4 linked regions of the Styela clava genome follow. The protein of the gene in region 4 interacts with the protein of the main gene of each other region in a pairwise test. Links are inferred from orthologs where the notes say so. Each region holds a gene or a part of one and is shown on either strand. Other genes may lie near its edges.

Region 1 (7,258 bases), on a different chromosome or scaffold from region 4:
CAGTCACGTGCTTCTTGTAAATTGTTTAGACGTTGTTGCGCCACGGCCAGCTCTCCGTAAATGCTCATGCTTTCCATCTAGCGGAAGATAACATAAATAATAAAAATCATCATATATATCAATGTATCTTGAAAGTAAAGCATCTTAATTAACCTTTGTCGTTAGTATAAAAAACAGATAAAAATAAAATAAATGAGTTTTTGCTGAAGTGTAGATCAATATTTAGTGCTGATGTAATGATCACCATTTAATGAATTTAAAAAGGTGCCAACGTTCATCAATTTGAATACTGTTATATATAGATTAAACATTATTCCGAGCTTTAACGCAGTATATACTATATATAAAATTCGTTACGCCAAGAGAAACGTTGCACTTACGTTTGCCTTAATTTCTTGTGATAGTTTAAGAGCATCGTCATATAGTTGGATCGCCTGTAATGATATAGTATTGAAGTGAGAATTGATTGGACCTCTAGTTTCCATAGTATCAGATATTGCCTGGGAAACTCTATATGAGATTAATTCATTGAAGTTGGAAGACCTAAAGATTGTACATGGCATGGCTATCCAGGCTAACCTAACACAAACGATTCATAACCATATCTGTACTATTTTGTATACTTGAGGTAAAACTATCACGCTGGAATCAAAACTATATATATATATATATATATATATAGAAAAATTGGGGTGTGCTGAACGCATGAGATCATAAAACCATACGAAAGTAATAAATTATATCATTGTTACAAAACCAATTACCTGCTAAAAAACTGTAAATATCAGAATTATATAGCATCTAAGAACTTACTGTTCCATAATTTTTAGTCTTTATATGCACTTTGGCTTTGCCAACCAGAACCTTCACTTCACCATAACGATCACCAATTTCTCGCATCATTGAGCCAGCGGATTCATACCTAGGTAATGCGCGTTCTGGATCTTTCCTTGTTCGATGAATGTCAGCAAAACACAACAAACAATAAGCTTGCGAACCTCTGTCACCGCTTTCAATTGCAAACTTCAGAGCTTCCTGACAATAAAATAAAATATTTGAAAAAAATACGTATTAAATTGAAATTGTAGCTTCAACATCATGCGATAAAATTCTTATAATCAGATGTCCACCTCACCAGTGTCATACAGAAAACCCTATAAACATTTAAAAATATTATATTCATCATTCATATATTCATCATTCTAATTGTGGAAGATTGTACTGCAATATATTTTGTTACTTGACCCATATACAAATATCCTATTCTGACAACTGCGATTTTCCTTGTTTGGAGCGCTTGTCTGTTTTTTGAAGTCGATTGTGTGAATTCTGTTGCAATTGATTTGGTACCTCACTACAGGACATCGCTTCTTCCAATTTTCCGACTTTTCTGTAAGCTTCTCCCAAATGTAGTTGAATGAACGTTCTGTTTCGTGGGCTGTCTTTTTCATCCAAAATTTCTGCCGCCTTCAGAGGAAAAAATGTGGCCTGTAAAAAAATAATTTTGTTGTCATGCTTTGTAAAACTCTAAATCAGTACTACCTAAAGCAAATGAAACATAAACATCAATCGGTATAATGAAAAATACATATTTTTCTGTTTATTCCAATATTTTATACATAAAAACTTGATAGACTGTGTTCATTGAAAATCGTAGAAAAAATAGTGATCCAATTTAATAATGTTCACAACGAAGCAATTCATTGATAGAAAAATCTACGTTGAATTATCTTCCATTTCACTTTATATTTGTTTTATCCGCATTTCAAAATGCATGTATTATATTTAATTTCCCACCTTTTCATAATCTTTCAGGTTAACATAAAAACGCCCAAGAGCACAACATGACATGCATTCCAAATCGGTGTTTTGTTGAGAACTTGCCAAACTCAAAGATCTTTCTAGATCTTCTAAAGCTTTTCTGTGGTTTCCTAAACGAAGTTGTGCACTTCCTCTGCATAGATGGATTTCTCCTGTTATTCGTAACGTTACTTCGCTGTTGGCTCCTCTACATTTGGCAATGAATGTCAGACTTTTCAAGCAATAATCGACGCTTTTTGAAAATTCTGACAGCCACAAGTTAGCCCTGGAAAATTAAATGATTGTTTACTACTCTTTTAGGTCTGAAAAGCAAAATACGATACCTAAATTCAGAGAAAAAAATACAAATTCAACAACATATCTTATACTAATTCTGCCTTTGATAAATTAGAGAAAAATGCAACCTATTTCTCCAATTGAAAACTAGATGAAAAACCGGTCCCCAAATTCTATATGATTATATACTCTCAACATCGTTTTAAATAAATGAATTTATAGGAAAAATACACGACTATGATGTCAGATTATTGAGTAGATTCTATTGGTGATTCTATAATTAATGATTATATTCATTCGTTATATTGAAGTAATTATTCATCCAAAGCAAATTGGTCTAATAACCGAAATCCGAAAATCCGGTAAACATCTAACATTGCTAGCAAAAGATTTTCTTTAAAATCAATCCTAGTTTATCTTTTATCAAAGAAGTAGTTTCGTTCATTCGAGTCGATGCCAGTTTTGTTTTGTCTTACGTGGCGACAAAATGTTCGTTATATAGGCATAGGCTAATGAAAATGAATACGTACTACTTACCTTGCTAAATTTAAATACGAGTCAGCAAGAGTTGTATTGATGCTTACGAGTGATTCTCCACCCATAAAGTCCGACTGAATACATTTTGTTTTAATAGCTTGAGCTATTTCGATTTGTTTGACTGATATTTCCAACATTATTCTGTATCTACCCCATCCTTCTACAGTTCTGATTGCATATCCAAGCACGTTCCATCTTTCTTTTGGATTGCGAACTTTTCTGCAAATGTCTTTCAGCCAATGTTTTGCTGCTGTCCCATCTCCATCATCGATCAGATTTTTCAATTCTTCTTTGTACTGTTTTTCTAATTTTGCATCATTCGGACTTCGACTCTGATGACCGTTATTCTGCCCCATATCTATATTGGAATCTATTTTTATTTTTGCTAGAATTGAATTAAATGAATTTGTTTTATAAAGACCGAAATTCCGGTAAATTGTGAATATAAAAGCTGCATCGAATGTGCTATTTGAAATTTGAACGGAATTTTCATTGGAAAGCTGTACATACTGTAGCTGCACTATACTGTACACGCAAATCACAAATCTCGTTATTATGAGCTACAAACACCCTTTTCCATAACATTTTATCTATTGTAGATTTCTTAAGCATTGTTCGATTTTACTCGTATTTTAGAAATCCATATACGATTTGCTAATAATTTCATCTGTTTGTCAAATGTTTTATACAGCTGTCATTGTACTAGCCGTAAATAAAAAATATTTACCGGTAACTGGTGCTTACCAACAGCGGTTTAACTCCAACTATGACTAATAAACGCACACGTACTTCAGTCAAACGGAATTTCTACTTGAAGGTATCCTATATAAATTGTCGTCACTCTGAGTTTATTCCGCAACCATACTCCCGAGAGATTTAGCCAGTATAGCGGTAGCTCAAAGACAGACAAGAAATATTGTTCGACACTGTTCGTGTTTCTGCTTCGAAGTGAAATGCGGCCGTGACCCATTATTAATAATGTTAATACCAAAACGATTTCAGATCCATTAACACCTTGGTAATGACATTCCATGGCGTCAGTAGATTGCATAAGGCGTCATGTAGGAAGGAAATGTTTCAAAGAAATGTTGTGAACTGTTTCGTTTCATGTAAGAAAGCAAGTATATATGAGAAATTGAGAGTATTCGAACTTTTCAACTTGAAGGATAAAAGCTCCAAGAAAGTATCCTTTGTTGACACCAACCTTATTGAAGATAAATTTGAAGCTAATATTGATATTGATATCACCGACTCGGAGTCGTGAAAAACCTAATATCTATTCACTGTTTCTGCAATTCCTTGTTCATCTGTAACGAGTATCTTTCGTTAGATATAATTCAATGGTGAAATAAATCAATATTTAAATAATATAAACATAAAAATCAAAAACTAAATAAGGAATACTATCAGCATGGCTGCTATTCGCATTATATTATTATGCCGTCCATTGCGCCCATCGAATATTAAACAACCAAACTAACTATTTATCACTATTTGCAAAGGCTTGTTCCTTGACTGATTTTCAACTTGCCTGTGTCCGATATTCTGCAGCTAACTCTTGCTTTCCTCTCAACGTTAATCCCTCGTAGGTTGTATCCCTAAGCGGAGAATGTCTTAATTTACCAATTACATCATATACATTCTTACTATCCAAATATTTTCATGACGTCATACTAAATTGTTCGATCGCCAGGGGTATTGAAGTTCATAAATGATGAAACATTATTGAACATGTTTTCAGTTTCTAATGGTTTAATGGGGTTTAGATAAGTGTCAAACACTTTTGAAGGATGAAGAGCTCTATCGCCGAAAACAAATCTGTTTTATGTCAAAGTATATTAAGTAATATTTAACGCATCCCACGTTTGTTTATGAAGATTCAAGTTATCAAGTGTGCTATTAAAAAATGTTATCAAGTGATGATTGTAAGATATTCTGGTTTGTGGTATTCTGGTTCTTCCATCATTATGAACACTTATGTAAGTCACTTAATTTTCAAGATTGAATAACGAGATTTTGAAATTTCAAATGGAATATTTTTAATAGGTTTATTCACAAACAATTGTTAATTTGATAAATATTATATTTTTGATTATCCTGGGTATTCATTAAACACGACTCCAAATTAGTTCAAAATATTACAAAGAAAAATGCTTATTCATTCAATATTTTTACAGACTCCCCGGGTAAATATAATATATATACAACTTCAAATGCAACCGTATATAAGGCCATTTTCATTTCATATATAAAGCCTAAAGTCCAAACTACACAGAAACACAATATTTTGCAGTGACCTTGCAAATGTCGAACTTGGCACACGACAGAAAAATGCAAGCAATGCAAGAAAAAACTAAAAATAGTTAGGTATTTTAGAAGGCACTAGAAGGTCAAGCAAAAAAACCACAGATGTTGCAAAATACTACATAAACATATCACTAACAATCATATAAATTACACTCAGAATCAAAGTTTCAATTGGATCAAAAGTGCTTAGAGTCAGTGTTTTCAATTGAAAAAGTTTTGAAATATTTTTCCGAGCTTCTCATTCACTTGTAATTATTCAATATTTAGGTTGTGTGCGCTGGAGGCATTCCGACAGTAAAGAGAGTTGACAATAGGAAGAACAGTATAAAGAAGACGAGACAAAATCTGAAAATATATTTCAAGAAGTTTGAATCATTTGTCAGAACCAATGATTTTTTCCATCTGCATAATCCTCTTCAATTTAATAAGTAGACATGATTTATCCTATAAAAGATTTTTGTAATTTACCTGTCCATAACACGGGCTGCGAATCTCCATTTTACAGCGACAACATCATCTTCTTCCTCGTCTTTCATGCTTTGTACAATGTCATGCAAGTCTCCACACATTTTGGTTATTTGCCTGAATGAAAAAAATAATCAAGGAATTTGTCATTGTAAACGTTTCACTGATTCCATAACCGTACAATGGTTAAGTTTCACATACCGTCATCCTATGCCATATGGATAGCTACGTGGTGCTAACTAGCAGTAGTATTGAATTTGAATGTCGACACCGTAAATCTACCAAACGTAGTTAATTGATTATATTCACATAGTAAATTAAGATCTGTAATTTTTCTAGGTAATACCCAAACTTAAATTGAACAGAAGAAAACAATAGAGCAATGCTTAAATACATAGGCACCGAAGCCGAAACGAAGTAGTATCAAATCATTTACAGTACCGGTAGTCTAACCACTAGATTGTTGAATGCGATCACCGAACCACGACTAGGTGTGTAATTTTTAATTTTGATGAGGTCATCACACAAAACTTGAAAGTGAATAACAAATCACATAGTGCCACAAAATCTTGAAATATATATATATAAATGTAATACGATTTTAAACCACGGTATATTTCAAAGCAATCGGACCAGTAGTTAACGAGAGAGGCAATTTAAAAAAAAAGAATACTAACAACAGGTCAACAGCACAGATAATATAACGACTCATAGGTTCAATTCGTATTCAAAAATGCATAAACAATGTTGGATTCATTTCTTGAGACGATGTCTATTTACAAGCTCAATCGACCGATAGGTATGATTATTATAATCTATAAAACATTTTCAGCGATTTCGCAGTAAATACCGACGTCTCAACTAATGCTCTTTTTCATTTAACTAAATGTAGATTATTCAAAGATTCAATTTTGTTAACTTCTATTTTATTGAGAGTGTCGAATGTCTGTCAACGATTTCGAAATTGAACGTCACAACAAAACAGATTTTGAGATTCATAATATTTTGAAAATGAATCTGTTGATTAACAGGCCACCATGAAATTGAAAGAGATGTTATCACTTACTTTTCCGAATGCCTCAGCTGCATCGCCAGCACTGTGTTCGGATCCTTGTTTTGCTGAAAATCATTTTGAAAACTACCAAGCCTTTCGCCCACCTGCGATTTTACATATAAACAAATACTGTAAGACATATTCACCAACCTCAATGAGTGAACAGAACTTTTTGTGACCTGATTTGTCCTTTTATGTTTGACTTATGTTGTAGAAAGGTTATCAAAAATATATCGAAGTATGAATATGCATGAACATAACACAGGTTTATTACGCTTACGAAAATTATCATTAAATGTCACTTTAGAAATGAAATATTTCTACACTATTCTTTTCATTGTAATGCACTATCACCACTAGATTTCCTGAATTCCTAGAATTTCATGTTTCAAGACACCTGGAATTAATTAAACCGTGACTAATGTGACTCATTATGTGTAGAGATTACATTTGAGGTTAGGCCGATGTAATAGGCATGAAAATGATGCATAATCAGCTACCGGAATTATGTAAACATGATCACTGATATGGTGAAAAACACAAAAAATAAACCAAAATATTAAGGGAAAATTTCATTAAAAAGTTAATTACGAACGATATTTCCGTGTTCTATGTTTACCTCCCACCCATCGTTGAGTCGTATACTTTATAAAATTTTATACACAACTCTTGGCTTAGCAGGGCAGTCCTTTTTCCAGTTATATTAAATGAGAAGTTAAAAATATGATAACACACGCCCTGCCATATAAATATAATAGTTTTATTTTTCTAACCTTCATCAATGGGAGTTCATCAGTC
Region 2 (7,107 bases), on a different chromosome or scaffold from region 4:
ATATACTAATTACACAATAAGCCTCGCTAGTATTCGAAAGTGGAACACGTATATTTGCGAGTTGACGCGTATATAAATTTATTTGAGTCGTGACACACGACACTGAGAGAGTCAGAGAGATCCCACTAGAAGCACCGTAGTGGGGCTCCCGAAGTATGCGAACCAAGATGGCGGACATCGGAATGTAATATGTGTACTAGATTAGGGTTCGGCCATAATTTTAGGTATAAATACTACGGGAGACTCTTGGCTAGTCTTCGAACTGATAATAGGACTAAAATAAGGAAAATTGAAAAAAAATTATCGCCTAACCCTAACCTGTCACCAATGTTACGTTCCGATGTCCGCCATCTTGGTTCGCATACTTCGGGAGCATCGTAGTTTTGGTACTATGCGAGAGAGCACCATTCTGACCGAAATTTTGCCTTTTTTTTGAATATTTGTATCCTTCAATTTATTTTTAAATTGGCTTATTGATTTGAGTCTTTCACTTGTGTTCTGCTTCAGATACGATACCGGTACCTGGCTAGTATGACGTTATCAACGTAGTTTACCAAATATGGAAAATAAATGTGCTGTACTTTCTCCTGCTATAATATCACAGCCTTAGGCTAACATGATAACATTTGACGGTGATAATCAGTCAGGTGGAACCGGTGTTCCTGGGGTAAAATGGTATCTTTGTTCAGAATATTCGCCAAAACCCACCAGACCACTGACTATAAAGCTGCTATATCAACGCATTGAGGACAACCGCGGACAATAATTATTTTTTTTCAAATAAAATTTTTCGCCCTTGGGATTTCGCTTTTATGTATGTGAACACCGGCGAGAAAAGACGACGATGGTTGTCGATCGTATGTATGACACTCACAATGTTATACCTCCATTTCGGAATTGTATATTATATAGCACCATGGTTCGGTGAAGTGTAGGCGTTCACAGGGGTGGTTTCAAATGTATACTTGTACTTTTTGGTTGTATGCTGGATATATGTCGCTTTTGGCGTGTGTGAGAATGAGGGGCGTCTTGCAGTTGGCTATTATACATTTAGCGATAAAAAATTAACGGTGTTAATTGCATCTAATTTCACAGAGTCTGCTACATGCTCTTAAACGACCCGGATCAGTTTTGTTTTAATAAATGGATCAGGTCTCCAGAAAATACATAGATACAAAATTATCGGAATAATCAATAACTATGTCAGGATTTGGGAACCATTATTTTTACGTATAATGTGAAGCTTTACGTATAATGTAGAGTAGCGCTCACACTGCGCTCCCTATTCGGATCACTACTGCCGCGCATAATGTAGATTGTGGACCAGTGTTCTTCAACCTTTTTTATCGAAGTATACCTTTTACAGTTTTTCAAGAACTTTGTATACCTTACAAATACCAATGTTTATTTAAGGCGGCTCAAAATAAACAATAAATTGTAAGCACATATTGTACTGCAATATCATCATGCAATCTAATAGGCTAGCGACCGCAGGTTATAAATTTGACTGACTGCCTTAGCGTCGACGGGAATAATGTTCGACATAAATGAAACAAAGTGCATGGCAGCCGAAATCACCAACCCAGACACATGATCGTATTATCTATATAATTTGTGATGTAACAACGTGCTCACGTCGGTTCTTAGCGTTATAACATTTTATATTTCGTGTGCGGTTCCATTATTGTCTCCGATTGAATATTTTATAATTTATTATATATATTAGAGTTTAGATTTTCTGATTTAGGCTGTACACCTTTCGTATACCCGTGTCGCTCATCGGGCTTTAGGTGTATACGGTGTCAGGCTTTTCGTCTGTTTTCAGTGTGTATCTGTTTTACAGTAATTATTTTGTGGCACCTGGCCAACGTATATTCTATGTTATACGATTTGATAAGGCTTTGTTTTCCCTAAGCTAGCGATTTACTAACCCTTCTACGCATCCACAAGGTAGTATTAACTGTAACGACATCGCTTTAGCTCAGTTTGTTTGTGATCTGCGCGCTTGCATGCGTTTTCTGTTGAATATTCCTATTGCATGTTGCTCTGGCCCTCAGCAATACCATTGAGTCGGTTTATGACTTTAAATGTCTAATCCGCTGTAATCAGCTTAAAAGCTTCTAACCCCAGGCGCGGACTTGATTTATTTCGTGTTATCGATTTGCATTTAATAAGTCACTAATCGTAATCAAATCCGCCACTGGAAATGTCCGCGTTTTATTGATAACATACATGCATTTCGTGGGAATGGATTATGTTTACGAAACAGCACTTGTGTCAATCGTGTTCTGATTGACATGTAAACTAGATTTGTACTCACGCGCCAAAAGGACATAAATTCTGAGCGTTTCTGTTAAACATAAGGATAGACAGAAAGAGGTCGGGCAATAGCCTCACATAAGACGCAGAATCAGAGAAAATTAGTCGTGATGCAACAACGGGATAGTATCGGATAGAAAATGCCGAAAATGTAGGATTTCCTGCAAGATGTCTTCTATTATTGTAGGGAAGGAGAAGAACATCGTGCAATGAACTACAAGCGAACTTACGTCTGAAACAATTACAGTAATGTCAAAACAAACTGCGTGGCTGTTTCACGCACACTCGCGGAATACACACTGGGAGTTACATCCAAAGGCTGCAGCCAGCGGTAAGTACGTGCTGAGCGGATGCGGATTATACTGGTCTGTCTACAATGAAGCTATTGTTCTAATTGAAAACATTCCGTATTTAACATTTTCCTGTCGTTGTATACGAGCACAAATCAAAGCGGATATCGATACCGACAGAAGACTATATCATCGTGGATAGAAATATGTTTGCTATGAAAACGCAGGATTATATAAATCAAATTGATTCCAGCGTTACATCAATTTAAAAATGCGTTAAATATTCGCTTGAATTGAACGACAGTTGTAAATTGATTAGTGCGTTTTGATTAGAGTACAGTATTGCATATTTTGATAAATAAATATTGACATCATTGGGTTATCAATTTCACGGCTAATTTTACCGTTTCCCGTAGGAAACAGCAGCGATCGTCTTTTCAAGCTTACGATTTTTTATTGTATTGTCGCGTGAGTGTTCGGGAGGCCTAGTCACGCGTGTCAGTTTTTTCTGTGGCGAGTCAGTGGTTTTGTTTGGATACGTCATAATTTCAAGCTGCACTTGTGCGCCGTGGATGACTAATGATTGTCGCCCACAAACTTTTTCTCCCGACTCCGTTTCGCCTTTTTCTCGTCTGGTTGACGCCATTTTGAAAAGCACTCGTACGTTTCGACTGCGGTAGCGCAAGTGTCATAATGGATGTGCTCTTTCTTGGCGCTATGGGTTTTTGTATATATCTGAATATGTATGCGATGTATTATCGTAAAGGAACGGAATTAAGTAGTTTAGTTTCATTTAAGGTACAGTATCGTCGTACATTCTTGTCGAAAATTCGATTTCATTATGTACATAAAATGAAACGAACTATTTCGCGTGTGTGTGCGAACGCGTCACTCCGCCCACTCGAGTACGAGTCTACGAAATTGTCGCCAGCCCGAAAAGTGGTCAGGGAAAATTGATTGTACCGTACTTAGCTTTTGTCGAACTGCCGGGCCGAAGTTACAGCTATATACTGAATATATCAGTTAGATAGTGTAGTATTACTGTATTATTTAGAAACTTCCTTATACAGTTATAGTACGGCACCAAGCCCACCATCGCGCTGCCAAAAAATAATGTATCATGGTTTGGTCAAGTTAAAAATTTGTAGATTTTGGTTAATTTATATACGATGCTTAGTTGATATACAGGTATTCAGAAAAAACAGTGTTATGATTAACTAGCTCTCCCGATTCCATAATCAATTTTTATTTATTCGTTTTTAACAGTCATTTTATTGTTACGCTGATTATGGAGTCAAACTATACTTATACACTTATAACCCAGTCATAAATAATGACTAAATACTGAATTATTGTTTTAAGTTTGAATTTTAACAAGCGTTTCAATTTCAAGTTAAGATTTTAAATACAATTTTATTGGTATTTTTGTTGGGCCTTCTAATCAATCATGTCGGAAATGATGATAGCCCCGGGATATTCCAGTCATAAATAATGACCAAATACTGAATTATTGTTTTTAGTTTGAATTTTAACAAGCATTTTAAGTAAAGATTTTAAATACAATTTTATTGATATTTGTGTTGGGACTTCTAATCAATCATGGCGGAAATGATGATGAGCCCCGGAGATATTCCGATGGCAGATCCCAAAGCTCAAATGAACCAATGGCAGCAAGGTGGATGGGATTCTGGTATCAACTCAGGAGCAACAACTGCCAATCCATCAGTCACTGGAACAGTGGATGACTACACAGACACCGAGCAAGTTTTGCGAGAATGGCAAAGGGAATTAACCATGGAAGAAGCAAATCGTATGTTTATCAGTTTCGTTTTTAGATACAAGTAGAATCATAATGCGATATTTTTATGTAGGTACGGTATCAATAAAGTTTAATCAATTTTATATTTCTTGTCTTCTGGAAATTCCAGCTTTATTCCTGAAAATTTCAAGAAACTGTCTTATGCCTAACAATTTTACACATTTTTGACTATTTTAATGTGATCACATTTTTAAGACCATATGAAAGGCTGAAAATTTTTGTGGTGCCCTTCACAACGAAGGTGGCGGAATTGAAGTATACAGGGGAATGCGCTATTGAGTTATTTCTTATTATTTAGTATATGAAACTTTGATTTGCAGAATTGAGTGACCAATTTGCTCGTACTCGCGCCGACAGAGTTCGAGATGTTCTTTTTCCTGAAACCTCAATGGATGATGGATCCATGCAGCAGATTCCGAGCACACAATTTGATCCCAACAATCCAACTGCTGTTCAAAGATTGGCGGAACCATCTCAAATGCTGAAACATGCTGTTGTTAATATTATCAACTATCAGGTATTAAGATATAAATATTGTATTATACGTCAGTGTACCCATCAAACAAAAAAGTGTTATACAAAGAACTGAAATGCTTTACTTATGTGGCATTCACTACCTCATAATTACACAAGTGAAGGGACAGCCATATTCTATAGTTTCAGTAGATATTTGTAACTCAGTAATATATTGAAACAGTCCTAGTTCATTTAGTGTTATGATTTTCAAAACACAAGAGCCAAAGATGATGAATGTTGCTATAGATTTAAAAATACCCCAAAATTTGTGCGACCAGTAACAATCATCCCCTCTGCACATCAGAATGAATTTTAGATTGTTGCCTATGTCGAAACTAAATATCTTTGTTCCTTTAGGATGATGCTGATCTTGCTACAAAAGCAATTCCAGAGCTAACCACTCTACTCAATGATGAAGATCAGGTTGTCGTGCAACAAGCTGCACAGATGGTTCATATGCTTTCTAAGAAAGTTGCAAGCCGTCAGGCTATCATGAATAACCCTGGAATGATTGCTGCGCTTGTGAGAGCAATGCAGGTAAGGCTATTGTTGATGGAGACATCTTTCCATGAGAGGCATTTTCACAGATGAGAATCTAGTGTCACTGTGGATGGTCACTGTGGATGCCTATTAGGGCTGGGCAAAATATTCGAATAGCGAATAGAATATTAAATTATTTGAATGGCATTTTACTATTCAAATATCGGGTACCACGTGATCTGTGTCGCTTCACTCGGATACAGAACGTCTCTGAACCGAACGTGAATTGCTCGAGAATTCACCTACAATGCTCGCTAACAGACAAAAGCGACAAATTTGAAAAATTGTCTTTGCGTTGTGGTGTTATTTGTTTTCTTTGCGTTCCAATCGTTCGTTTCAACTGCCTATTTTGCAAAAAAAGATACCGACACCGTTCCCTAAATTTAGAAACGACAAATCAGATGAGGTATTTAAAATAAATATCCCAGATTTTAAACTCCGTATGGTTGGCGGCACGTGAACCAAACATAAATTTGTTTAACGAAAATTAAAATTTGAAATAACCTTTGCATGAAACCATACATAGTATAACACGCACAAGCTATGACCAGAAAAGAAATGGCAGAACATAGTTCTTTTAATGTACTTTCAATTAATTCTTTGGTGATCCCTTTCATTCTTGACCAAGTGATGTTTCGAAAATGTAATCGTTTCACTCGGTCATGCATGGCGGGTGGAGTGTAAAAATCATAACGTAAAATCAGTCGTGAATTTCGATGTAACAACGCGCACTGTTTACGAATTGTTGTATCATCGGAAATGATTACATTCGTTATATTTTGAGCATTTTTGCACTAAAATTGTGAATTACTCTGTAACGATGGATCGCGGGGTTTCTTGAAAGAAAACGTCGGAACTTGAAAGATTTAGTTATATTTAGCGCCTGGCAATCTATTAGGCACAAAAGAGCAATTTTTTTCATTCAGCATCGGGTCGCATATGTAAATTATTATTCAAGAAGCGCTGTTTATTAACGTCAACTCTTCATAGGGCTACGCAGAAATGCCTTTATTGCCGAATTATTTAGTCACCACTCACCATTTTAAATCAACATTCGAGATTGACGCAATCGCAGCTTTGCGAGGTTTATCTGTAAAGTAACATAGACACCATAGAAAAGCATAGCAAAGTTAATTTTGGTATTGTCTTAATAAATATCTGCATCCCGGTATCAATAGTAATATTACCGTTCGCTTGATATTGTGACGGTAAATTTACAAACGTTGATAAGTAATATGAAAGCCAACGCAAATGATGAAAATTAGAATAATATTAATTTGGGTTTGAAATCAATCCTTAATGGTTTTAACAGCTGTTACCGACGTGAACGCACGGGTGAACCGGAAATATAAACTTGTCCGACGACCCGAAAGAATTAATACTTGCAAAAAACAGAAAGGGCGGTAATGCCGGTAATATAGATTATATATCGCCGCAAAAACGGTCACTGTGACAAAAACGATCAGCGATTATGACGAAATCAACCAGTAAAAAAACGCTTTGTAGCCGATTTTTCAATGTCTTATTAATTTCCAAAGGAAGTATCGACCGACGTTCTGGACCTTCCATTGTGCATAAAAATATTCGTTATTCGACTATTCGATATTCGTTAAAAATATTCGA
Region 3 (7,947 bases), on a different chromosome or scaffold from region 4:
GCCGTAACTCTGATATCAAATATCTGGTCTCGTGAAAGAGGTCTAATTTTTAAATTATAATCTTCAGAAGGTTCTTCATGAATGGCTCCTCCTGCGACACCAAACCGAATTGTTCCATGACCTATTGCCTTTTGTTTCAATGATTTTACAAAATTACGTCTTACCAAAGAATGGTTACTGCCACCATCAAGAAAGAAATTTGCCTTGATCCATGTTTTGTCACTCGCCTGCACTTCTGCAACAAGTAATGGAGAATAATCCAAATTAAAAGCGCTCAATTGTGTTGAATGCATCTGAGATTGGTTGAATACTGCTGCATTAGAGTGAATATGTTGACTTTCCAAATTCGAATCGTTTATACCAGAATTTCTCATTGTATTGTAATTTCCCTGTACTTTTCCGGGACATAATGACCAATGATGCGGTCTTTGGTTACAATTTACACAGCTATCGGCTGTTGTTCTTGCACAATTTCTTGCAAAGTGAGTTCCTAGACATATAAAACATCTTCGATCATCTGCTATAAAGTTTTTTTCTTTCAGGAATTGATAGGTTTTGATATTTGTTGCAGTCTATAAGGCGGTGCTGAATTCCACATTCAAAAATACAAGTGACTGTCCTTTGACGTGGCTGAACTGAACCCATGTTATCATTCTCGTCTGTAGTATGATTAACCGTATTGAAATTAGATCTTGGCGACTGGTTTTGTCTCGGTCGAAACCTCATATTCTCGGTTTGATTGATAAAGTTACCAGATATTTCCAACGCTGTAGCTTCAGATCTCAGAAAATTCGTTATAGATTCCAAGTTATGATTACCTTTGCTGGAACTATTATATCGCAGTGCAGTGTCTGCATCTAGACACTCTAATGCTCTATTGACAGAAATAACCGAGTTTGCATCCTGTTTTAACCCAAGATCTTCCATACGTCGGCAGAAGAGAGAAATTTCGTGAGTTAGTCGCCTAAGGTTCGCTGGATTACGAGAGGTCTTATATAAAGGTTTTATTTGCTCGTATTGCTTGATTACTTCACGTTGAACTACTGATTTAGGAATACGCTCTTCCAGGCGTTCCCATACACTTGAAATTGATTTACAGTCACATATCATTGTTTGATAATCGTTTGGCATTGCACCATTGCGTAACAGTCATGAAATTTGCACTAAATCATCCGTAATTCTTGCATGGTGCATTATATGTGTAAAACGTTCTTTCCAGGTATAAAAGTCTACTTTTTGTCCGTTCCAGCATGGCGGATGCATACCACATAACTTAATCATAGGAGGATCATTATTATAATTGTTTTGAGTGGTTACAAGAGATGATATCTCCGGCTTTATATCTAGTTTGTCTTCATATTTCTCAAAATCGATTGCAATCTTGTTTTCCACACGTAAAATTTCTTCACTAAATTTGGATATAACGGGTTTTTCCTCACTTTGTGTAGTACTGTCTTCTTCAATTAGAGCCAATTCCATAGTATCAATTAGACAGACCAAAAATGCTATTTTATCGTTAGCATCATGAAACAGTATTTTGACCTTTTCAAAATCTCTTCTTTCCAGAGAGTGCTCAAATCGTGTTAAAATTCTTTCCAAATTTACTTTTGAGTACCGGAAACTTACTCTTGAGTTGTTTGAAATTCTGACCTTGAAAATATTCTGACATTGTTAGTTGGCATTCTTGCTTTGATGTATTGCTGAATCCTCGAAAGGTTGAAGAAGAACTGCTTGATTCAGACTCCAGTTTGTAGGTGTAGGTGCAGTATCATTAAATGTCACTAGTTTGGATTTCTGCCCATTGACAAATCACCCTTGCCTACTATGTCTCTTTAACTAATATCCCAAAATGAAACGAATAGATTTCTCCCAAAGTGATTTAATCCAGATATCAGTAAGACAAAGTGACCTGACAAACAATAAAGATGAATATTAAAATGAGTACAGGCAACCAGGCACAATACAAAGCAAGAATATACCAATTCACTTACATTTAAATGAGGCTTTGTCAGAACAGATTATCCCAATGTAAGGAACTTATGAAATAGATTATTCATACCCAATGACTATAGCACCATTAACAAGCTTATGAGAACAGATCTAAAGACAGACTAAAGCTCTAGACAGTTAACCATAACAAGAAGTAATCAAGTAATCAGCCAATAATCGCGATGCAGTGAACTATACGTAAACACACCAAAAGTAAGTAGTACCAAGATAAATCAGTCAAATGTTCAAACCAGGCGGGCATTTTAAGTCGTTACGCGGGACGTAATTGCCCCACTGTTTGGGAACCCCTGATCTACACTGATAAATATGCCATATATATTCTATATAATTAATTAAATACAACCGAGTTGGGAATTACAGAATGGAATCGCACCTCAAAATTAGTTGGGGTGTTTGAAAAATAGGGTGTGTGTGTGTGTGTGTGTTCACCCCCTATAGCGGGGGGAGGGGGGTGTAAGGAAATCGCTGCATGGACTTGATGGTGGAGGATGTTTTAGCATGGTGCTACTGATACCGCAATACATGCATAGCAATCGGTTACACGTTGACGGAAATAGAGATGTTTTCGGAAGACCGACAAATCGATACAGATTAAGGAACATACGGTACCCTACCTCAATCAAAGTTAGGATGCGACAAAAACAAGTTCTAGTATGTAGGCTATACAAGCTAATTTCAAGCGCGGAAGCGAGGATCGTCGATTCGAGTTACCGGTACTGAATTCTGGAATTATAGGACAGTATAAGCAAGTCACAGCAGTTCAGGCAATCTTGGACATTTTTAATATATTATATGACATTATAATTTATCATGTTCTTATTGATAGAATTCACTGCAATAAGGTGGATAGGTAGGAACGCTTCTAAAACAATAACCGGTACCGTACCGGTACGTGGTACCGTACCGGTATGGGGTCTGGTACGGTACCGGTATAGTTTAGTACCCACATGCACTTCTAGTTGGCCTGGCTCAACTATTTTTGCATATGTCAATCCTAACCTCTACCTGACTACGTCACCGAAAAATTAGGTCATTTCGACGTCACAGTGGCGTAATAAGGCCCACCAAAGCATGCGGAAGGTAGTCCAAAACGCGCAGACGATCATCCGAAATCGAGCAAGCTATTTCTCTCGTTTTTTCGTCACAACGATCCCGATAGGAGAGAGATCGCCGACGTTAAGCGAGTTCGTTATCAGCGGCGCAGATGCCATTTCGGGCGATCGTAATTATACTTTGACAAGCCCTATGACGTGATGATGACGTCGTAGTGACGTAATTTTTGGATGGCATACGGTAGTCAGGTGGGGGTTAGGAATAGCATATGCAAAATTCGTTATGCTATGCCCACTGGAAGTACGGTACTTGTGGTAGACTACCGGTACCAAACTATACTAGACCCCCAGGCATGCAGGTACAGAGGTATGCTCGTAAACTAAGTTGTACTTGTTACCCATTCAGGCTGGCTGCATTGAATTGAAGACTAATTACAGAATTAATTGTCCTGACTGCGACTGACCTTCAAAAATAATTTCTCATGTTATGTCTGATACAGATGTAGAAAGCACTATGAGAATAAATTGTGAGAAAGTTTGGCTATAGGTCAAGCAATAAGCTCACGGTACTACGGTATCTGATTATGGTACAATCTGACAATAGACAGATAGAATGGGAAGATCATTTGGCGCGGCAGTGTGGCTCAACGGGCTAAGCGTTAGGAATACGCTCGCCACCACACCTCTAATTGATCTGCGTGGGTTCGCATCCCATGCAGGGATGGTTATGTGCGAGAGGATTGCTGGACTCCTCGCCGTCGTTGGGTGGTTCACATAACCGCTGAACTTCTAACTATTATACATGTGTCCATCTGCCCATTCACGAAGTACATTGTTAATGCTGAATATCTTTTGCTCTTTATACCTAACAGTCGGTTACGGCTTCCTCCACCACCAAGTCCATGATTCCGAAAACAAACAATCTAACTAATCCCATACCCGACTTGGAATGGTAACCGGACGAGAGGTCGTGGTTCGCCATATGGATAAGCCATCTTATTGGCTTTCCTCTCCCCCCCCCCCCCGGGATAAATATGTAAATCCTATCCTATCATTGATAACCTGTTTACAGTACGGAATGTCTGAATGTGTATGGAAACTATTCACTGCAACAATACTACAATATGGCACTGTTCTCCGATTCCAAGAATGGCCCCAACATTAAAATACATTAATTATAATAGTGAGTGCAAACTCTTCCTTCACTAGATACAAACAGGCATTGCACAACAAAACAAAAACACAATTTTGGTCATGTGCCTGCGACGCAGATCACAAAAGATTTAATTTATTTTCGAGACAGCGTGGCACAATCTCATGTTGTGCCAAGCGTCCTAGTTTCAGACACAAATAGAGTGTTTGTTTCATTGAACCAAATGTCAGAATGTTGGGACATCTTGGAATCGGAAAACTGTGCCCTATTGTACTATGGGAAATAATCTAAATTTTTTATGACGTATTCATCCTTGAATGCGGTACATAAAAAAGAATCGTAGACAGATACGATATTAATTCATGCTGAGAATGATAAATTTCTAATTGATAAAATTGGTAAGTGAACATTTGGTTTCTTTCTATAGTAAACAATTTGATTTGAAATCCATCTGCTTAATTGTCATTAAATGTGATCATATTACTGTATTATGAAAAGAATGAAATGAACTGTATGTATTCAAATAAAATATAACCAGAAACATAGACAATTTCGTGGCTCGCATGAGGATGGCACATCTTATCAATACAGTAATATGTAATAAGTTTCATCCAAATCAAATGTGCAATGTAGTGTGACTTTTGTTGGGTTATTCAGACTCTTTCGCTAATTGATATAATGCACCCATTCATTTTCGCTTGCTAACTTTTTAAACAGTTTTTTGTAGTGCACGATGCGTGGCAAGTAGTATTTAATGTACTCATTTTGAAATTTAATGTGTCTAGTTATCTGAAAATTATCAGTTCGAAATATCAATTAAATGGCGATGAAAAGTCCTACAAGAACCAAGCAATCTCATAGAGAGGTATTTATTGGATTTTTCTTTGGTCTGACCTATAGTTAAAATATGGTATCTGAGTAGTGGATCATAAAACTTGAAATTTGTTTTAGTGAGGCATGAGTGCTTTTCTCTTAATACAGTAATAATATGAATTGTTAATGAATGGCCTTTGGGGGGTTGTCAGTTGTAAACAAAATCAATAGAAGTACTTGTGATACTAAACTACACTAGACCCCATAATTTAATATATTTCAGTGGCAGAGTACCGTATATGCTCGTTTTTTTAGGGCCCGTTTGAAAAGCCGCCCATGTGAACAGAACATAAAAATAAATAAGGGCCGGTGCTTGAATGTAAAAGCTGATTTTTCAGTGGTAGAGAATGAGAATGAGTGGTAGAGATGTAAAAGCTGATTTTTCAGTGGTAGAGAACAATAGGAAATAAGAAGCGCTTTTGTCACAACGCTGTTGAATTTTAAGCACCTGTAGATAACACTCACGCCTTAGGCGTCCAAGTACATAACAGATAGCATTGATTACGTAACACCATGGTTCTCAAACTGGGCGTCGCGACGCCCAAGTGCGTCGTTTCAATATTGATAGGGCGTCACAAGACTTTTCTTCTTTTGCGGATTTGTACCTGCGGTGCGTAGAAAAAGTCAAAATTTTCATTATTCTCGTTTGAATCATACTGGAACTGGAAATAACAATGTATTAATTATTGTAACGATCGAAAATAACGAGCGCCCGTCTTGAATAAGGGCCGGTTTGGATAAGGGCCCGGTTAGTGAGTTGGTTGAAAAAAATACGGGCCCGGGCTACAAAACGAGCAAATACGGTATGTTTGTTTTCATGATTTACAAATCTTGAAAGGGTGGCACTTGTCATGTTTGTTTACTCAATTTATAAAGTTTTGATAAGTACTGAACTATATGTGTATGTGAAGAATTCAAAATATAACACTCAGTGATGACCCACATGAAGTGTAGGCTACTCAATATAGTGAATGCTCGACTCAGTGATAATTTAGAACAGTGGTTTCGAACCTTTCAAGAAATAAATTCGAGGAAATCTTACAACCCTTGGTATTATCAAATAGTATTGAATGGCATGTAGTGCTTCTATGGCCAGCTTCGTCCCCGATCCAAGCTGGAACAATAAATTAGTAAATTAATTATTTCTGCTGTATCCAAGAAAATGGCCACCAGACGAAGGATCATGGTTCGCCATGTGATTGAGTCAGCTTAACTGCTTTTGTCTCCCCTAGAATAAATATAAACGAATGGTTTTCTATTCCTATTCAAAGATGCTTGATCCTCAGTCTCCAGGAAGTCATTCAGGTGTTGATATCGAAGCTGAGCTGGGAATACATCCTGTTAGAAGGCCAACAGGAATTGATCAAGATGTCAATGAGCTAGGACAGCAGAAACGAGTTTCATCTGTATTAACTAGTCCGGTAAATTTACTTATTTTTAGTTGCTATGTGACCTTTATTTTGTATCAAATTGTAGTGAAGATAACTTAGTTTCTTGTGATAATCTATATTTTATTCAAGTTTTTTAGTTTGTTTGGGTTTATTTTTTATTAAAGAGCTAACATCGGAGTTTTCATTCAAGTCTTTAATGTGCAATCCATTCTCATTTTGTTTCTCTTTTAAGTATTATTATACAAGATCCAACTATGAAATCAAAGTAATATAGATTGAGGGTTAAGTTTTTTAGATATATATGGTTTTCGCTTAATTTACGCATGATCTCACGATTATGACTTTGTAAATGTTAACAGTGAATATTCATAGCGAGTGTCAATATTAGCTCACGTAATAATTGAACTGTGTTATAATTTTCTTCAATAGGTGTTCAAAGAAGAACTTGAAACTGTAGTGACTGACTTATTGCGTTCTGGTGATGGTGGAGGTCACGTAATTGCCAAGGAAATTGCAAATATGTTGTCGCCGATGAGCAGATCTCAATATAGTCTGGGTAATTTATTTAATTATATATCAGTTCATGCATGGTTTTAGCCATTAGGGCTATTGCTGTTAGTGCTTCTTGATGCTATGTCATCCAATCCTGCCTTGATATATAAACCAAGAAATTTTTCGATATCTCTATTAAAGGAAAGATTGATTAACAATAGTATTTCCCAGAAAAAGACTAACAAATATTAACAGCTATACTGACTGCTTTCTATTTGTAATTGTTATTTTAGCATACTTTTAAAACATCCTAAATTGAAACTACAAAATATTATTCTGCTTAAAACATAATTTGTCTTACAAAATCTTTTGTACCGCTCAGTCTCGGCTCACTATTTTTAATGGTCGTGCAATAAAAACTCCCCTTCTAAAACACAGTTGGGTATTGCACAGGCGCTAATAAGCAGGCTTTCCTCCATGCCAGTTTAGAATTTAGATGTTTTGCAAGTTGTTACATCACTACTAAGTTTATTATTCAGTTTCTTTATTGGAGTAAATTTTGTTCAACTTGCTTTGTAAAACCAATTCCTAATATGTTTTATGATTAAACGCAGTGTTTGAACCGGTGCTGCTATGCATTACATATTTACAATATTTAAAGTTTATGTTCTTTGCTCAGCTGTTCTGCTAGTAATTGTTGGTATAAATCAATCTATTCGAAGTTTTCACTTGTTTCTTCTATTACTTGTACAGGTGATGGAGTTTTCAATATGAAAACAGGTGACAATGATATTGTGTCATGTCATAATTTATTGCAATTTTGGGTTTTGCTTGCTCCAGCATTGCTATAGTAACTGGCTGTAGTATATATATTATATATTCACATAATTAAATAGTTCGATCAGTTATGTTCAATTGCATGCTCGATTCAATCAGAAGATATTAATAATAGTAACACTATTGTTAATTTTCAATG
Region 4 (7,084 bases):
TCTCGCTAGCAATTATGCCATTCGTTAAAACTGTCTGTTTTTTTTGATGATGATGATTTTTATGTGGCGCCAAACTATGGCGCTGATACGAGTATCAACAAGGGTTTGCCATATTAATTCAATTATTTTCAAAGTAATTCGTCGTTGCGCCTACATACAATGAAAAAAAGGTATTTTTGCGCTGGAATATTGCAATCTGGGTGCATAAAATATATATGGTATACTATCCGATTATAATTAGAATTGATTCTCATTTTTTGCAATTGTGGTAATTTGTGCCGCTCAGGATCCTTTTCAAGATATCGCCGTTAACAAAATCTAAAGGCCAAAGATAAAATTTCACATTTTACATTGATTAGTTTTATGCCATCACCACATTTAATAATGAATAATGAGTAATGGAATGAATCAACTCCAGGTGACTACGGTAAAGTTTCCGGAAAAAATTCCGGAATTTTGCAATTTATTCCCGTCTAAAATAGAGTTCTCAATCTGTCGCGGCACTCCTAAAACAAAATTTATGGTTTCTTCTTCGTCTCAGATGATTGTATTATAAAGAGTTTTTTACACTCTGCGCACAGTTTCGGACGAAAAAAAACTTTTTATCGTCATCGCTGGCACATATCCACGGGGATACTTGTGAGATGGAAAGAATTCTCGAAAATATGGTCTACCGATATAATACCGATGTTCACGGCCTAAATACCCGCGTCATTCTGAAGAACATATTTGGCAATTTTCACCATATTTGACTTTTCGAGAGAATTCCCAATCGCCCCCCTGTCGCCCTTTTGGAATTTTTCGCCTTTTGTTTTATCTCTTTCGGCCCCAAAGCGATATCGACCCCTTTGAGAATCGCTTTTCTAGTTCATTTAATATATCTGGTAATAAAGAAAGAACACTATTCGTTGTTAACGAAGATTTTTTCGTCATTATTTTCCAACGACATACTTGATAAAAGGGATTCATAAATGAATAATGAGTTGGAAAAAAAATGATTTGACGCATACAATTTTTCAATGCTCAGTCTAGTGTAAAGTTTTTCCAATATTTATTAATTTTTGCGAGAAATTTGATGATTTACTAACGCGTTTATAAGATAAGAGTGTCTCGAATACTCCGCTGGACCGGTAACCGGGTGATAGGGCGTACTTTGCTATATGATTTATCTGCCTTATCGAGTTTACTGAAATAACATAAAATGTCCTGACATTTCTCTATATACTTTCGCAAGACGATATTAGGAATACCTGTGTGCTACTTTACATTCTGCCATTGAAAACAACCAGTTTCATAGGTTTGTCCAACGACTAACATACCGGGTTTGTCCAATTTGTCAAAATAACTCGAATCTTATCACTAGAGGCGCCATTATACTGGGCTGGCCCAAAATTAAATACAGGCTTCAAACTGGCTGTGGGTGATAGGATTTGTTGTCGAATTATGTCGTGTGATCGTCGAGGTTCGACTATAGCATATTGTTCTGATGTATTTATTGCCCAATATTTATGTAGACTACAAAAAATATGTCATGTTATGAATGTACTATTGTGACTAATCATAAAATATGGATACCGTCCCGTTATCTGTAACCCTAAAACAGTTCTTTTCTTTTCGACTGACGGATTTGAGCATACATGTCTTGAGTACTTCCTGTATATATTATACAACTCGTTCGGGCCTACTGTGGTTCTAGGCATCAATGAATAATTTCCTCCTGGTCTTATAATCCATCATTATAGCAGTGGAGTACTACCAACTCAATAGTACATCCTGTTAAAATGTGAAAACTTTTCGTATCTCTAGACTTGTTAAATCATAGTGTCCATTATAAATCAACTATTTACTCAATCATAAAATAATTATTATATTTCAATTATTTAACATTGAAAAAATCCTCTAACACAATTGGCAAACTTAAATGCCAGTTGTGTTTAGGTCGAATTGCTCTACATTTGAGACCCTTTGACTTGATATACTAATCTAGTACTATTCCCTAGAAATCATTCTCCTCCTTTTCATGTACAACTCGCCAATGATGCTTTTTATATTCATATTTTGTGATAATGAAATTACGATACTGCATTATATTTTGCTGTTACATCAACTCATACTATTATAATTATTTACATTTTTATTTATCTTTCACTTGTCTTTTTATATACTACTTTGACATCCCTCTGCAGACAAAATATTGTTGATTATTATGCTGAAATAATGCTTGTTAGGTCCTATTAACTATTTTTTTCCCCTCCTAATCTAGACAAATCAAAGCAGATCATGTTTGTTACATCTTCAATGCGTACCTATGCCATGAAATGAAGCATTTCTGCTAATTCATCACATATTGTGTATAAATTATTTAAATTCTTTCAGTAACCTTTGGAATCTCTTCAGATTTTGAAATCCCGCTCCACATAAATAAATAAAAATGATTTACTCTAGCATTCCCCTCCCCAATTTTATTCTTCCATTTTGAGAATATAATTTTAAATTCTAGAATGTTCCTCCCCAATATTTTAGTCATCTGAAACTGTGGATCTTAAACATAATAGCTTGAAGGGGGGGAGTTGACTTTGATGACCGTCTGGTCGTATCACTCCCTCCTGTCTATACCAAACAAATTTATTTCTTATTGTTATTTTTATTATTATTACGATGACTGTTATTTTTGGTTGACGAAAAAAATAAATCTCTCTCTCTCTCTCTCTGTTCTGAATACTGGAATACCAGTACTAGCGACTCTGTAATGTCAGAATATTAATAGGTTATGGTTCTGTACCTACTTCGTAATATTGTAATATAGCACTGAGCAGAAATATAGAAACTACAAAGGTCAGGATCTTGGACTGAGAGGATCCAATTTCTGAATTTACTGATTTAGGATAGAATTTTTATATTTATTCGGATAGAAAAGACATGGCAACAGCGAAATTTTTTGTGGGTTGAGATTTTTAGGGCTTTATATTTTTGTGATAAATACCTGTTTTAATTATCTTTGGGTGGATATTAAGGAATTAGGCGTTTCAGTAATGCTGTTACAGTGTTATGTGATTTCTTATTCTTTATCAGATTTATTTTTTACTATTAGTTTTGTTTATTCTTAAATTTGTTTTTTTTATCAGTACGTTTGTCAGTAGTCTTCATTTCGCCTGTTATTCAGTGTTATGGTTAAAAAAAATTGTGAATGTCAACTGTCAGTTGATAATCCTGGCTTTATTGTATTCAGCAATACCAACTTATTATGAGTTTTTTACACTCATGAATGCTCTTAACAAGGCTCTGTAGGCAGCTACTTGAATGTCAAAATATACCGGGTTTGGATGAATAATGCTATTCTTTCTTATTTAGCATGAGATGCTGTTATTTGATTATTTGTATAAATAAATAATCTTTTTCATACATTGAGTAATTTTACAAATATGATTCAGAACTTTATATTATTATAAGTCAGGGGTGGCCATCACGTCGATCGCCATGTCTCAAGTAGTCGATCATGTCATACCTCAAAAAATTGGCTTGAACCAATTCCATGCAACAGCGCCTGTTGTGTGTTTTGAAACAGGAAAAAAACAGCACTGTAACATGCGCAAAATACGATAAACCGGTACACATACATTATTTCAGTCTGTGCAAGTCCGATAGATCATATTATTATGTAACAAATGCAAGTTTAGGAATGAACATGCTGAATATCATGCGTCTTGACTGACAAACAATGCTACAATAACATCTGCAATATGGGAAAGTTATTGTCTCACTCCAAGTGTAGTGTAATATCTTTTGTTCACAGCGGTAGCAGTGACATCAGAATGCCCAAGTTTGGTCAGTCACGTAACATTTATGGTGTAAAATATTTATATTTCGCTGTTTAGATAATATGTATAATACTTAATCGACAAGTTTTTTTGAGGGATTTTCAACACTTACGAATTAAAAGTATGCAGACCGTACATCTGAATTGTAATATTTGATTAAATCTTAAATAAACGATGAAACATTCACTTCCGGGACAATTACATAATCAGAGAGCGAATTGTTTTTAACCAATTTATTTGATGCTAATATTTTTCAGTATATGCTTCTAATTTTAACTAGTATAGAAAGCCAAGATGGCTTCTGGTAAAAGACACAAACACTGGTCTGACAGAGTTCATGAAAGTGTTGTTTCAAGGAATAAGAACGGACAACTAAACTTGGTTATAAAAGGAGGTGCAGAAGAAGTTAAATTTCCTTTTTTTGGAACTGTAAAACAAGACAAAGTTATTTATCACAGGTACAATTAATTATTGCTATTTTGAATTGTTCGCTAGTGCAATAATAGAAGTAGGTTTTACATACTTCGTTTTTATACGCTGTTGTTTCTAAACCATGCATGAGTAAATATTTGAAATACTCAATATTTCAACACTAACAGTATAGTAAGTATATTATTTCTATCATCTCGTTATTTATTTTTACATTACTCGTCTACGAGTGTTATAATCATAGCATCATGATTCTCTTTTGCCAAAGCATTAATTTAAAGTTTCTGAAAACATTCACTTAAACAGAATTAAAAAGTGGACTATTGGAATTATTGAGCTGTAAGCATTGCTCTCACTGATTTTTTATCAAATTTATTTATATTTAACATTATTCAATGATAAAATGAAGTTTTGTATTTAAAAGCTTATTCATTTTAGTTAAGCGCTATTTAAAATCATATTTAATGGTGTCGATTGATCTTCTCGTGTTTATGTTATGCTCACACTCGTACTCGGCTATATTATTACTTTTTTTTAGTACTGGTATGTTTGAGCATAATCAATGTTCGTTTCGGATTTTGGTATATAAATAGATTTGTGTTAAATTTCTAAATATTATGATTGCTATAAGATTTACTAGGAATACATGAAGGCTTATGTTGCCAAATACTACAACAGGTATTTTGTCATTGGCACAAGTTCTTTCCGGTTTATATTGTATGTAATCTTTAACAACCAGCTGTTGTAGTTTATAAATGTTAAAATAGAATAATGAGAAGGTTATTTTTGGCAATTACCAGTGGTTTTCTCTTGTAAATTTTACCTTCTTCAAGCACTTTATCCGTTTTTTTTATTGAAAATTTAGTAAATACTTAAATAGGTACTTGGTATAAGCCTTATTTTATATCAAGTATTTGTATTAATATGTGTAATGGTGTGGTGTAACCTGTTTATTAAATAGAGTCAATGGTATTTGTGAAACTATGAATACGCATGTCTCGCTGACATGTTAACGACTTCGCTTCTTTTCTTCAGTGGAAAAATTCAAGATGGTGAAGTCCTACTTGAAGTCAACGATCAGTCTGTAGCAGGTCTTACGCTATATGATCTCAACAACTTAATTAAACAAGCCAAGGATCCTGTCAGATTTAAAACAGTGAAAGAAGGTATTTTATTATATATTGTGCGGTGCATCGTATATTTTGGTACCCCCAGCAAAGTACACTTTCACTCTGAACTGGAAATATAGAGGTTTTGTGATTAAGGATGTCTGTCAACAAATTCAACTTTGGGTTATCTGTGTATTCAATTGGAAAAAATTTAGATAATTCAAAAAAGCTTTTTACTAATTAAATTACGGTACATTAGATTTTTTAGAGGAAATGTTTTGAAAAAATATCAGTTATCTTTTTTCAATCTGAATATATTTAATATTTTTCTACATTTATGATTATGAATTGAAAAATAATAAATTACAAGTAAGACTAGTTCTCCATTTTGTCTGCAATTGAATAAAATCTATGTTTTGGTTGTACAATATTTTATTTTTTAAAGGGAAAAGTTTTAAAGGAGAATATTTTCGGTTATCCTTAAAAACAAAAGTTTTAATAAGTTTGAATATGGTTTCAAATATATTCAAGCACTTACCGTAATTCATTTTGAACCCTTCTGACTAAAATACAGTTGCTTTAATAAATATGAAATATTGATTCATAAACTATTGTAAATGGAATTTGGAGAATGTCAAAAAAAAATGTTCGGAATAAATTTTAATTTTTTTTTAAATATAATTCAATAAGGTTCTATATTAAGACTCTTGCATCGCCTTCTTTTATGTCGAATTCTGTGTAACTAAGTAATAGATAATATCCATGTTTTTTTGCAAAGCAGTATAAGTACTCTATTTTTACATAGGTTATGCATATGTCTAACTGAAACCAATATTCAGATTGTCACTACTAGGCTTAATTGAGCATGAAGAATGTTTTGTATATTATGTCTTACTGTTTTGATAAGCTGGTTATACAACGTTGATTTCATAGCCTATTAGTTGAAATCAGATTTGACTTGTACACTCTTTTCATATACATCCTCAACATGGATAAATCTTTAGCATACTGTAACTCTTGAATCAATTTTTATTATAGGAAGTATATATTACACGCATTTAAAAAGTAATTGGATTTTTGATTGCTATTGATTATTTTGTTGTTGTGTAATCTAGTTAATATGGTATGTACCGCAAATCCAAAGTTAAAAAATAAAAGAGAATCAAGGACATTTCAGATTATTTACTACTATAATAATAGGAAGGATAAAAATGTCACTGAGCTATGGAACCATTAGAGCCCATGCTTGAACAACTTATAAAAGAGATTTCAACCAGCCATAACCATTCTCTTTACACATGATCACAAGGAAACCAAATGATATTGGCATGTTACTAATCTAACAGTCTTAGTTTATGGAAAGCACATTAAGTCATACAATAAATATATTTATCAATGTATGACTCTTCCGACTCTTCCTTTCATTTCTCAACTTCTACTACCCTATTCAGGTCAAACTTTAACAAAAGATCTCAAGTTGTATTTGAGTGAAAGGTTTCCACTTGGAGCGGTTGATCATGATTTACAAGCTGCAATCAGAGATAATCTGTATCTAAGGACACTTCCATGTAAGTAGAATTTTAATCTGTCATGAAACTAATCTCTAATATGATTTCCTTGTATCTGTGTTTTATTTGGTAATGTTGGGAGAAAGTTGTGCATAGGAAGTCTTAGATTTACTTCTATGAATTTAAATTGTAATTTTCTTTTTCATCAGTGCAAATGAGG

What was found.
Region 1: the proteins of membrane-associated guanylate kinase, WW and PDZ domain-containing protein 3-like (region 4) and 43 kDa receptor-associated protein of the synapse-like interact in a two-hybrid assay, tested with the Caenorhabditis elegans proteins (2 studies listed by BioGRID). The link is inferred for Styela clava from reciprocal best matches to the Caenorhabditis elegans genes magi-1 and rpy-1.
Region 2: the proteins of membrane-associated guanylate kinase, WW and PDZ domain-containing protein 3-like (region 4) and catenin beta-1-like interact in a two-hybrid assay, tested with the Caenorhabditis elegans proteins (2 studies listed by BioGRID, with this or other methods). The link is inferred for Styela clava from reciprocal best matches to the Caenorhabditis elegans genes magi-1 and hmp-2.
Region 3: the proteins of membrane-associated guanylate kinase, WW and PDZ domain-containing protein 3-like (region 4) and alpha-adducin-like interact in a two-hybrid assay, tested with the Caenorhabditis elegans proteins (2 studies listed by BioGRID). The link is inferred for Styela clava from reciprocal best matches to the Caenorhabditis elegans genes magi-1 and add-1.

The regions. Positions count from the first base shown.
Region 1 is NC_135255.1:10,699,338-10,706,595, forward strand, and holds the start of 43 kDa receptor-associated protein of the synapse-like, read right to left. Parts: upstream 3,020-7,258; 5' UTR 2,991-3,019; coding exon 2,635-2,990; intron 2,087-2,634; coding exon 1,798-2,086; intron 1,489-1,797; coding exon 1,351-1,488; intron 1,036-1,350; coding exon 814-1,035; intron 435-813; coding exon 381-434; intron 78-380; coding exon 1-77. Other genes in the region: neuronal acetylcholine receptor subunit alpha-7-like, read right to left, coding at 5,205-5,286, 5,410-5,523, 6,473-6,564, 7,234-7,258.
Region 2 is NC_135250.1:17,838,765-17,845,871, forward strand, and holds the start of catenin beta-1-like, read left to right. Parts: upstream 1-4,104; 5' UTR 4,105-4,208; coding exon 4,209-4,419; intron 4,420-4,748; coding exon 4,749-4,945; intron 4,946-5,301; coding exon 5,302-5,481; intron 5,482-7,107. UniProt on the Caenorhabditis elegans protein: Required for cell migration during body enclosure and cell shape changes during body elongation. Plays a role in recruitment of the cadherin protein hmr-1 to adherens junctions.
Region 3 is NC_135258.1:23,366,910-23,374,856, reverse strand, and holds the start of alpha-adducin-like, read left to right. Parts: upstream 1-4,932; 5' UTR 4,933-5,035; coding exon 5,036-5,080; intron 5,081-6,359; coding exon 6,360-6,509; intron 6,510-6,908; coding exon 6,909-7,035; intron 7,036-7,724; coding exon 7,725-7,751; intron 7,752-7,947. UniProt on the Caenorhabditis elegans protein: Membrane-cytoskeleton-associated protein that promotes the assembly of the spectrin-actin network. Plays a role in time-dependent memmory loss and the retention of conditioned behavior over time.
Region 4 is NC_135257.1:12,831,210-12,838,293, forward strand, and holds the start of membrane-associated guanylate kinase, WW and PDZ domain-containing protein 3-like, read left to right. Parts: upstream 1-4,060; 5' UTR 4,061-4,112; coding exon 4,113-4,276; intron 4,277-5,282; coding exon 5,283-5,413; intron 5,414-6,807; coding exon 6,808-6,924; intron 6,925-7,084.